Elephas maximus indicus: one gene and its partners. The protein of the gene in region 1 interacts with the protein of each later gene in a pairwise test. Links are inferred from orthologs where the notes say so. Each region holds a gene or a part of one and is shown in the gene's direction. Other genes may lie near its edges.

Region 1 (3,745 bases):
AGATTGCTTAATTAAGAGGTTACTTGGAATTATAGATTCCTCAACTGCTTCACATCATATTCTCATCTGTTATTAAAATTCCCCGCGCTGATTCGTTAGCGTTACCCTATCTCACTCACCATTTTATATCTCTTTGTGTCCTCCACCGGGCACTTTGTGTCCCGGTACCGTACGTTGATGCGCCTAGTGTTGATCCTGCAGTCCCACGTGTGCAAGCTGCTTTAAAGCAGTCACAAAGCAAATAGTTACAAGGCTTCTGGTGGGAGCGGAGAAGACCCCGGAGGTTGTCAAGTAGCCAGACTGAGATCTCCTAGAGGGCAGGACACTGTCTCTCATTTAGCACAGTTTATCTCCAGCACCTGGCTCAGTGCGTGGCACACAGTACGTACTCAATTTTGCTAAATGAACGGTCAATAGGCTGGGAGGGAACTTTAAATACAACACTTCTGAAAACCTCCGCCGTACGCTATCCAGGCGTCAGGGGCAGACGGGCGCAGATGCTACAAGAAGACCAGAACCTCTTGGTTCTAATTTTGTACATAACGTAATTATATACAATAATTTCCGTGTTTGCTCTTAAAACAAAAAGAATTGGGGTTATCGCTGCTCTTAGTTCTCAGGAGCTGAACTGTAAACGTGCAGCAGTGCGGGGATCCCACAAAGAGCCCCTGGCAGCGAACGCGACACTCCCTCGGGTTGAGCCGGACCGAGCTCCCAGCGCGCCCCGCGGCTGGGTCGCCGCGATCCTGAAGGGGTCGCTGTTCCCGCGATAACCTCCCTAAAGGCTCCGCCCCGCGGCCGACGCTTGCGTCCTCCGTTGGGAACCTGGCTTAGCACGGCCAGAACGCCTGTCTGTCCTCCCGCTAGCCAGCCGCCGCTAACGCCGACGTTAGCGGCTGCCCTACCGACGCGACAGGCCCAGTGTCTGAGCCGCAGCCGCCGGCGCGCGCGGCCGGCTGTGAGGCGCTTGTTCTCTCCCCTCGCCCCACCCTTCTCCTCCCCCTTCGCGGAAACGACAGCTGCAGCGGCGGGGCTGGCGCCGCCTCCCTCCACCTACCACGTCTGCCCCCGCGGCTCTTGCCCGGCGCGCCAGCCCGGCTGCGGCGCCTCCGCCTCCCTGCTAGGTCAGCCGGCGGCTCCGCCCGGCTGCCGCCCAGGATGAACATCATGGATTTTAACGTGAAGAAACTGGCGGCTGACGCGGGCACCTTCCTCAGTCGTGCCGTCCAGGTACCGCGGTGGGGGGAAGGGATGACGACGCCCGAGGAGGGCCGGGGAGGGACCGCTTGAGCGCTGAGCCCAGGGCGGCGGCGGCGTCCTCACTCCGGCCTCGACCCCACCCCGTGGGTCTGCTGCGGCAGGAGGCCCGGGAGACGGGCGCGGCCTGGTGCCCCTCCGAGCCTGGCGGCCGTTTTCTGCCATCCTCCTGCCCGGCAGCCGCACCCCGGAAAGCAAAACGGAGTGGGAAGGGGGCCAGAGTTTCCTCCCCACCCTGGAGGACACTTTGAGTTTGTCCACGGGCCGAGGCGCTACTCCGCTGCCTTTCTGATCCCAGGACGCCGGTGCTCGTGTGACCTCCCTCCCCGGGTTGGCGGAGGCCTTGCGAGACCGGCGGGGTAACGTAGACCATTCTTGCACTGCCCCTGCCCTTTGCTTTGGGTTCTCTCACCCTCCCCACCGAGTCAAGAAGGGAGTTAATTTCCTTTTCCTGCCCTCAGAACCCAAAGAGCTGCCAATATAGTTCTCTCCAGCCCTGCCCCTCCTGAAAGGATTGTCCTTGGGCTTGGCACCCCGCGCAGGGAAATGGAAGTCGCCAATTGGCGGGCAAACTTTGCCAAGACCACAGGAAACTTGTGTTTGGGGGTTCCCATCCAGTCTCAGAATGAGAAGCACCGGCAGTAGAGCAGTGAGAGGTATGGGGAGATTCCTGCCACTCTGCCTGAAGTCACAGTGGTATGTTTTGAATACACTTTAAGAAAAAAGTTGACCTCACCATATTCCTCAATCAAGGAAGTGTAAGTACTGAGGAACTTGGACACTTTTCTACAGTCGTCACCCACATTATGCCAACTCAGTATAAAAACTATGAACAGATGTAAATTTTACCACAACATGGGTTATAAACAAGTCTGGTGTTTAAATTAATGACATAGTCGCCGTGGCAACAACATTCTCTTTTGTAAAGAGAAAACAAAAGTAATTGTTTAATATACATGCCAAATTGGTACCAAAATGTAAATCAGTTCCTTTACTACTTTCCTGTCTACTTTACCCCAATTTTAGTTGGTGCAGTTGATCCTACACACACTATTCTTGGCAAAAGAATAATAGAGCTAGAGTAGGGTAGCAATAGCAACCTGCATTGTGGGGAGGAAAGAAAAAAAACCTAGGTCAAACACTTTGCTAGTCATTTGACCTATTATCTCCAGTCCTTTTTTTAACTTTGCCAGGTAGTTGTTATTAACCCCATTTTATAAATGAGGAAACAGCCTAAGAGAGGCTAAGCAACTTACTTAACTTGCATGGCTGGTAAATATTCAGGTACTGTTTGACTTGGCCACTGCAAGCTGCTGCTTTTCCTGGATAAGCATTGCACGTTTGAGAACATACAGAATAATAGAGTGTTACAGACTAGAGGACCTTAGAGGTCACCTTGTAAAATCTGAGCATTTAAATATCAACAGAAAATAACCACATAAGCTATGGGAAATTCCTTTTAGGTCTTGATTTCCAAGTACCAGACTTAGCTTGGTGAGTAATGAGCTGGCTGCTTTAACCCATCTCCCTCACTAAGATATAAGGTGTCTTGTAAAGGAGTCCCGGGGTGGTGCAAACAGTTAACTTGGTCAGCTGTGCTAATCAAAAAGTTGGAGGTTCGAGTTTACCCAGAAAGGCCTGGGAAGAAAGACCTGGCGATCTACTTCCAAACAGTCAGCTGTTGAAAATCCTATGGAGCGGTTTCACTGCGACACATAAGGTCTCCATGAGTCTGAATCCATTCCACAGCAGCAGATTTGGCTTTTTTTAATAGTTGAAAGGATAAACTTTTGGTTTCCATATTTTTTTATGGTAAGGTACAAAAAGAATGAATCAGTCTGAAATGAATTTTGATTTGTGAGATACTTGTATTAAAAAACCAAAAGCAGACCTGTTACCATCAAGTTCATTCCAACTCATAGCGACCCTATAGGAAGGTAGAACTGCCCCATAGGGTTTCCAGGGAGCAGCTGGTAGATTCGAACTGCTGACCTTTTGGTTAGCAGCTGAGCTCTTAACTATTGCACAGACAGGGCTCCACTTCTATTAGACTTCCTTAGTATTTACTGCAATGGGTTAAAGCCTCTGGTAATTTTTTAGTGCTAATTCCCTAATATTCTGGATGCTGGGGGCAGATTTGGATTTATTATGTTTCTATATAATGTTACTCTTTAGAATACACTTTGATATGTTTTCAGGTAAATAACTTACACTGCTTAAATTGGAGACATTTGTCAGAATTTAGTCTGATTTAAATTGCTAATGGACTCAATTTAAAAGAATAAATCTAGAGAAGCTTTCAAAAGTTAAATGTTGATGTTAGGTGCCGTCTGTTCCATTTCAACTCATAGGGATCCCTTGTAATAGCCTGGAACTGTCCCATAGGGTTTTCTAGGTTGTAATCATTACGAGGAAACCCTGGTGGCGTGATGGTTAAGTGCTACGGCTGCTAACCAAAAGGTTGGCAGTTGAAATCCACCAGCCACTT
Region 2 (3,745 bases), on another chromosome or scaffold:
TGGGGATGGTTAACCTCTGCACACCAGCTCGCATCTACAGAGCTGACAGTGCTTAGGACAGTGCCTGCACCGAGGAAGCTCTGTGTGTTTGTTAAAGTAGAGGCGTGAAGAATCGTGGAAAAAATAAAGCAAGGAATAGGGGTATTGGTGATAGGTGGGGACTTTGAACTTTGTCCCTAACAAAGGGCCTGGCACGAAGTAGATGCTCAATGTTTATTGAAAGAATAGATGGGTGGATGCGCCGTATTTATAAGTTACCCACCGTTACGGACCATTTTCTGTGTGCGAAACACTACGTTGAGTGCTTTGCACTTAAATGCATTTAATCCTCATGATAACCCATTGAGACGGGCACTTTTATTATTCCTGTTTTACACAAAAAGAAAACCGCGTCCAGGCTGGGCACCAGGTCTGGGTTACACATGGAGGAAATCGCCGCACACGGTCAGGCTCCCCTCTTCATCCCTGACCTCTTCCCCACTCCCCCTCGTCTCAGCTCCAACGGTAACTTCCTTTCCCCATCCCACCACGGTCATTCCCACTCTTGGACAAGCTATTCCTTCTGCCTTGAACGACCCCTCTCAGGCCTTTTCCTGGCCCCTGTTCTTGTCATTCGTCTCAGCAAGAGGGTCACTTCTTCAGAGCCTTTTGCAGCCCACCATGCACTGGAGATCACAGGACTCTTGGCTGCTTTTTGAATCATGGCACTTATGACCGCCCAGTCATTTGTTTTTCCTGGTCTGTCTTCCTCTCTAGAAGACGAACTTCAGAAAGGCAGGGACCCTAGCACCTCGCATGAAATAGGAGCTCAACAAAATCCTGTTTATCAAACCAATTGGCCCCAGGACTACAAAGTTCCACCTCGGTTGTCCCCCTCCCATTCGTTCGGTGGATCAAGAAGGGCGTTAGTGTGTGCGTGTCGCGGGTGGGGGGACGAGGCCCTCTCCTGTTGGAAATTCTGGCCCAAGGAGCAGTCGGGGGGTGGGCCATGGTTCTGCACTGAGCGACTCGGACTCTGAGGTCAGCCGATAACCAAGCCGGGTCTCGTAGCCTAGTCGACTTCAAGGCCACCAACACCACCCGGACCTCTCCGCGGCTCCGCGCATGCCCCGTCCAGGCCCCTCCCGCGGCTCTGCGCATGCCCCGTCCAGGCCCCTCCCGCGGCTCTGCGCATGCCCCGTCCAGGCCCCTCCCGCGGCGCCGCGCATGCCCCGTCCAGGCCCCTCCCGCGGCTCTGCGCATGCCCCGTCCAGGCCCCTCCCGCGGCGCCGCGCATGCCCCGTCCAGGCCCCTCCCGCGGCGCGCGCATGCCCCGTCCAGGCCTTCCCCGTGGCGCGCGCACTTTCGGTCCCGGCCTCCCCCGCGCGCGTGACGCTGGGTCGGGAGGCAGGGCGGGGTCGGCTCCGCGGCTCGAGGGCCTTCCGCTCGCCGACTGGAGCCTCCCCGCGCCGGTCCCAGCGACGCCATGGAGCCCCGGGCGGTTGCGAATGCCGTGGAGGCGGGGGAGGAGGCCGCAATGATGGAGGCCCTGCGGACGTACAACCGGGAGGTGAGCGCGAGCCTTTGACGGGCCGGGCACTACGGTGGGCGCGCCGCGCGGCGGGGCTGAGCCTGCGGGACGGGCTGTGGGGGCGTCTGCGGGCGGGGGGGCGCGGTGGGGGGCGTCTGCGGGCGGGGGGGCGCGGTGGGGGCGCGCGGTGGGGGGCGTCTGCGGGCGGGGGGGCGCGCGGTGGGGGGCGTCTGCGGGCGGGGGGGCGCGGTGGTGGCATCTGCGGGCGGGGGGGCGCGGTGGGGGGCGTCTGCGGGTGGGGGCGCCGGGCCCAGCCGCCTGCTCAGAGTCGAGGCCGATGCTGCCGCCCCCCTGCGGGCGCGGTCCTGCCCCGGCTGGGGAACCTGAACGTCGTGATCCCTTGATCTCTCTCTGCAGAACTCGGAGAGCTTCACGTTTGAGGACGCGCAGCGGGAAGACAGGAAGGTGGGTGCTGGCCGGGGGTGGGGGGCTGGGCGGGGGCGGGCCTGGTGGAGCTGCTCCTCTCTCTGCAGAGACTGGCCGGCCTGCTGGTGTCGGCCCTGGAGCAGGGCCTGCCGCCCTCTCGACGCGCCACTTGGCTGCAGAGCCTTCGCATCCTGTCCCGGGACCGCGGCTGCCTGGACCTGTTCACCAGCCGCCCGAGCCTGCAGGCCCTGGCTCGCTGTGCTGGCATCTTCGTGTCCGAGGGACCTGACCCTGAGTCTCCAGACATGGACATTGTGCTTGAGGCCCTCAAGTGCCTCTGCAACCTCGTGCTGAGCAGCCCCGCGGCACAGGCGTTGGCTGCCCAGGCCTGCCTGGTAGTAAGGCTCTCAGAGCGTGTGCGGCTCTCCGGGCAGCGGAGCTTCCCGCATGATGTCCAGTTCTTTGACTTGCGGCTACTCTTCTTGCTGACGGCACTGCGCACTGACGTGCGCCAGCAACTGTTTCGGGAGCTGCAGGGGGTGCGCCTGCTGACCCATGCGCTGGAGCTGACGTTGGGGGCGTCCCCAGAGGAGAGCCCCCCTGAGTTCCTCCCTGCACAGGAGACAGAGCGGGCCATGGAGATCCTCAAAGTTCTCTTCAACATCACCTTCGATTTGGTCAAGCAGGAGGTGGATGAGGTGAGGGCTCAACTCACAGGTGCCTTTGATTTTGTGGGCATCAGATGAGAGAGGATTGGGGTTCCTGCCTCTTGGAGAAGAGGAGGGTCCCTTTTGAGGAGGGGCCTCAAGGAAGGCATTGGAGGGAGGCTGCGAGGGGAGGTGGTTTCTGGTTCTCCAGGCCCAGCAGGAACCAGAGTATGTGGTAGGAGAGGAAACAGGATTTCATCCCAAGGGACTGTGTTGACGTTCTTAGTTGGAAAAGTGCTGTTAGGAAAAGAGTAGAGGCTATTTAGCCCCACTGTTAGTAAAGTAAAGGTCACATTGGAGAGGACAAGGGCCCAGGACTAGGCTTGTTGGTAGGCTCAGTGGATGGAAGAGCCTTAGCTGGCAACAGCACGGGAGTGGGGTTCTTCTCTCCTCTAAGAACATGTTTCTGGTTAGGATGATGCTGCCTGTTACCGGCATCTGGGGATCCTTCTGCGGCACTGTGTGATGGTCTCGGCTGCCGGCGACCGCACGGAGGAGTTCCACGGGTGAGGGAGGGGCTTGAGGTGGGTAAGTGGGGGTGTGGGGTATGGGTTACAGGTGGGCGGGGCCTTGAGGTGGGTGGGTGGGGCTGTGGGTGGGGCTTCAAGGTAGATGGGGGTGGTGTGCATGTGGGCCTGCCTTGGCTGGGAAGGGGATGCTCAGACAGGGTTCTCAGTCTTGGCTGTGGATCGGGAGGCGGGGCAAAGAGAGCAGAAGGGACCCACCCTAGAGTCTGATTTCACCTGTCTGAGTGAGGTGGGCAGCAGCACCATTCAGAAATACCTGGGTATTCCTGGCACCACCAGGATCAGTCAGGGGAGGCGCTGACGCCTGGACCTGGGCTGATGAGCAGCCTCACGTGTGGTCTGAGAAGGGTGGCAGCTAGGACTGCACTTGCCGGACAGTTGTCCTAATTAAACCCCATCTGTCTGCAGCCATGCAGTGAATCTCCTGGGAAACTTGCCACTTGAGTGCCTTGACGTCCTCCTCACTCCGGAGCTGCACACAGGCTCCCTGGAGTTCATGGGAGTGAACATGGACGTGATTCATGCTCTCCTTGACTTCCTGGAGCGGCGTTTGGACCAGGTAGGCAGGAGGGACT
Region 3 (3,745 bases), on another chromosome or scaffold:
CCTACTTTAACCAGGAGCCTGGGATACTGAGGTTTTCCTTCTCCACACAGAAGGCAACTTCTTGGCAGCCAGAGCTGAAGTTAATAGATATGCACTAACTGACAAAACAAATGATGGTGCCAATAAAGTGGGTTCCTCCCCTCCTCCCCCCCACCCCCCAATGAAACACAGTGAAAAAGCAGGTTTATTAGCTCCAGGAAAAGGAGCAAAGGTACCCATCTCTCAGGCTACTCCTCACGTTCTCTGTACAAGCTCTACTCAGCCCAAGGGTCCGTCCAGCCCCTCCCCTTCTGGGGTGGGAAACAGCTAGGTGCCAGATGGCGAGGCTCCAGGCCGTTCAGCAGCAACACCTGGCATGGCTGAGGCAGCCTCATAGTCTGCGATGCGGCGCTGTACCAGGGCAGGCATGAGCTTCACATAAGCGGCCATGAGACGGTGGTTGGAATGGATCAGCTTCCCAGCACAGCTGTGCAAACAGGCCTCCTAAAAAGAAGATAGGGTGGAAGTAGGGGCCAAAGGGGTCCTGTCAGGCCCCATCTCCTTCCTTCCCCAACCCCAGCCTAGGGGTGAAGGCCGTGAAAAGGCCAAGGCCAGAAGTGGAAATGAGTGGTGGGGTTGGGAAGCTGACTACCGTGAACTTTGAGGATCGAGGATAACCTCCCTAACCCTACTCAGGCCCCCACCTCCTCAGCGTCCAGAGCTCGGTGGTGCAGGCTGGGCACGCAGCGCTGGAAGCAGAGTTCTGTCATCCGATTGTAGACCAACAGGAAGTCCCGCAACTGCCGGTAAAAGGGACCAGGAACTCAGCGATAAGGTGTCCCTCAATTCAGCCCAGCCTCCCGGGGTTGCCCTGGGTCGCGCACCACAGCCTGAAGTTCTCAGCCCTCGGATCCCTGGCTCTTTGGGGTACCCGCGACGTTAACAGGCATGGGAGCTGAAGGTATGGCTCTGGAGCAACTTAATCCCGACTCACGTTTCTCAGCTGCTGCTGCGGCTCCATCACGCCGCCGCCGCCCGCCTACATCTCTTCCGTTTCAGCTTGAAAACACCCCGGAAGTAATCTCTGGCCGTTCCCCAAGGACTGAGGGGTTGGCTCAAGGATCGCCCTGCCCTCGGCAGCCAACGTCACTTCCGCCCTTATAATCTGCGACGTGGCCGGCTTCTTCTGCCCGGGAGGGGACGTCACTTCCGCCGAGTCCCTGACCTGCGGCTAGGATCGCGACGGGAACTGGAGCCCGAGGTCCCCGCGCCGCCCGGGTCTGGCGCCCTGAGGGGAAGAACGGCCCGGCCCGAGGTGAGAGGGACATACTTGGGCGAGAGGGAGTTGAACGCACAAACCTGAGGGCAAGATGCTCCTGAGCACTGGGGAAGGATGAGCGCACACCTGATGCCCAGGTGAATGGGGGAGGGGCGGGGACTCACACACCTGGGAAGACATAACTGACTTTGGAAGGGATCACTTATGTCCTGGAAGGAAGAGGCTTTTACCAGAGGCGGGAAACATACACCAACTGATTCAACTAAGGCCTGGTAGGGAGGGCCTGAGAAGGAGAAAGAGGTGCGTGGGATGGAGGAAGGAGCGACCACTTGAAGGAAGGGGGAAGAAACACTAAAGGAGTGGTAAAGGACAAGCAGTGCAGCACATACCTGAATGGCGAGTGGGCACCAGAGCCCTGGGAAGGGGTTCATCTCCTGGTGGGAGGAGGGGGGAAGACACACCTGAATGGAATAAGCTCCAAGAGGGCACAGACTTTATCTCTGTTGTTTACTGCTGTATTCCCAGGGCCTCAAATCGTGCCTGACACAATGCAGGCACTCATCTAGCATCTGTTGAATGAATGAATGATTACCTGAGTCCTGGTGGGCTTGGGAGGTTATGAGAAGACACCTGAGACCTAGGTGTGCATGTATAAAAATGTGCACCTTGGAGAGGATAAATTCATATATCTAGGGAAAGGAGTGGTAGCTGAACCCAGGACATGCTTAAGTGCTGGGGATAACCTCTAAAACCTCAGAAATGGCAAGAGAGGTCTTCCCCTTCTGGAGTGCTGGCAACTTCCCAAAACCACCTGTGTTGGGCTTTGCAGGGCCCAGGGGTGGAGACTTTGACTCCAGTCCCTGCCCCAGCCATGACGGACGGGATCTTAGGGAAGGCAGCCACAATGGAGATCCCTATTCACGGGAACGGTGAAGCTGGGCAGCTTCCTGAGGATGATGGGCTGGAGCAGGTGCTTTTCTTTGATTCTTCTCCTAATCAAATCCCAACTCAAACTCTGGGCTCTTATTCCATTCCAGTAGCCTTTCCCTTATCTAACTCCTGTCAATCTTTTTATAAATCTTCATTCTGATTCTGTGCAGATATCCCTTGCTCTCTCTGTGATGCTTCAATCCAACCTTGTTCCCACCCCCAAAATGATTCAGCTGCCCCTATGTTCCTGAAGCCTCCCTCTTCTCTGGCCTATAGGACCTCCAGCAGGTGATGGTGTCAGGACCCAACCTTAATGAAACCAGCATTGTGTCTGGTGGCTATGGGGGCTCTGGTGATGGACTCATCCCAACAGGTATGAATAATCAGAGACAAAAAGCTTGAGTCCACAGTGGGGACAGGAATGGTTCTGGGGAGCTTAGGATATGCCTAGGGACACTTGAATTATGTCTGGCGGTCTTGGGAACTCCTGCCAGTATGAACCCCAATGTATTCAGCCGAAGACCAGCTGCCAGCGTTGGCCTTCTGCTACCACTTGCTACTTAGCCCCTCAGATGCACCTTTTTATCCTTTTTCGACTGCCACCACCTGAGCCAGGTTAAGATGTCTAGTTCACAGGAGTTCCCTTGGTTTGGAGCTTAAGACTTATTTGGAACTTTGTGAGACTTCTCGGGGTTTTACTTCAGACTCTAAAGTTTAGAGGAACAAACAGCCCTGAACCTTACACAGACTGGGATTCCACATGGGAAAGTCACCAGGTTTCCTGTTACCAGATCCCATCATCATTGACCCCATCAGAAGATGGCCAGAGGAACTCATGGAGATGTATGCTGGGATTTAGGTCTTGGGGTGCAAGGTACTAGTTCCCCCTAGTGAGCAGGAGGATCTCATTGTGTCTGAAGCATTCAGCTGCTTCAGAGATGTCATTTTTATGTGCTGGGAGGGAAGTATGGATGGGGCCACAGAGGTGTCTGGTTGTATCTGAGAGAGGCTGGTGTCAGAGAACTTGGTCCTTTAGGGTCTGGCCGGCATCCATCTCACAGTGCCACTCCCACTGGCCCTGGAGATGAGGTGGCTCGGGGCATCGCTGGAGAGAAGTTTGACATCGTCAAGAAATGGGGCATCAACACATACAAGGTGGGACTCAAACAACTTTTCCTATCTTCCAAACTTCCTTGGGTACCCTTTTCCCTTCTCCCCAGACCCCAATGTCCCATCTATGGCTTAGACCAGGAACCTGGGGATGCTGGGGCAGGTACCTGTTGTGGGAGGGTGCTAGGGTCTCTGACCTATTCCCCTACTTCCCAATCAGTGTACAAAGCAGCTGTTATCAGAGCGATTTGGCCGAGGCTCCCGGACTGTGGACCTGGAGCTAGAGCTGCAGATTGAGTTGCTGCGTGAGACGAAGCGCAAGTATGAGAGTGTCCTGCAGCTGGGCCGGGCACTGACAGCCCACCTCTACAGCCTGCTGCAGACCCAGCATGCACTGGGTGATGCCTTTGCTGACCTCAGCCAGAAGTCCCCAGAGCTTCAGGTGCC

What was found.
Region 2: the proteins of SH3GLB1 (region 1) and RIC8A interact in binary tests that used the Homo sapiens proteins (3 or more experiments, as listed by UniProt). The link is inferred for Elephas maximus indicus from reciprocal best matches to the Homo sapiens genes SH3GLB1 and RIC8A.
Region 3: the proteins of SH3GLB1 (region 1) and ARFIP2 interact in binary tests that used the Homo sapiens proteins (3 or more experiments, as listed by UniProt). The link is inferred for Elephas maximus indicus from reciprocal best matches to the Homo sapiens genes SH3GLB1 and ARFIP2.

Annotation. Positions count from the first base shown.
Region 1 is NC_064821.1:136,340,900-136,344,644, forward strand, and holds the start of SH3GLB1 (endophilin-B1), read left to right. Parts: upstream 1-809; 5' UTR 810-1,158; coding exon 1,159-1,230; intron 1,231-3,745. UniProt on the Homo sapiens protein: May be required for normal outer mitochondrial membrane dynamics. Required for coatomer-mediated retrograde transport in certain cells. May recruit other proteins to membranes with high curvature. May promote membrane fusion.
Region 2 is NC_064825.1:138,017,120-138,020,864, reverse strand, and holds the start of RIC8A (synembryn-A), read left to right. Parts: upstream 1-1,331; 5' UTR 1,332-1,465; coding exon 1,466-1,549; intron 1,550-1,927; coding exon 1,928-1,975; intron 1,976-2,043; coding exon 2,044-2,634; intron 2,635-3,057; coding exon 3,058-3,149; intron 3,150-3,578; coding exon 3,579-3,729; intron 3,730-3,745.
Region 3 is NC_064825.1:60,136,015-60,139,759, reverse strand, and holds the start of ARFIP2 (arfaptin-2), read left to right. Parts: upstream 1-1,182; 5' UTR 1,183-1,395; intron 1,396-2,087; 5' UTR 2,088-2,129; coding exon 2,130-2,228; intron 2,229-2,464; coding exon 2,465-2,561; intron 2,562-3,224; coding exon 3,225-3,343; intron 3,344-3,518; coding exon 3,519-3,740; intron 3,741-3,745. Other genes in the region: TIMM10B (mitochondrial import inner membrane translocase subunit Tim10 B), read right to left, coding at 307-483, 684-779, 974-1,000. UniProt on the Homo sapiens protein: Plays a role in constitutive metalloproteinase (MMP) secretion from the trans Golgi network. May have important functions during vesicle biogenesis at certain cargo subdomains, which could be predominantly utilized by secreted MMPs, such as MMP7 and MMP2.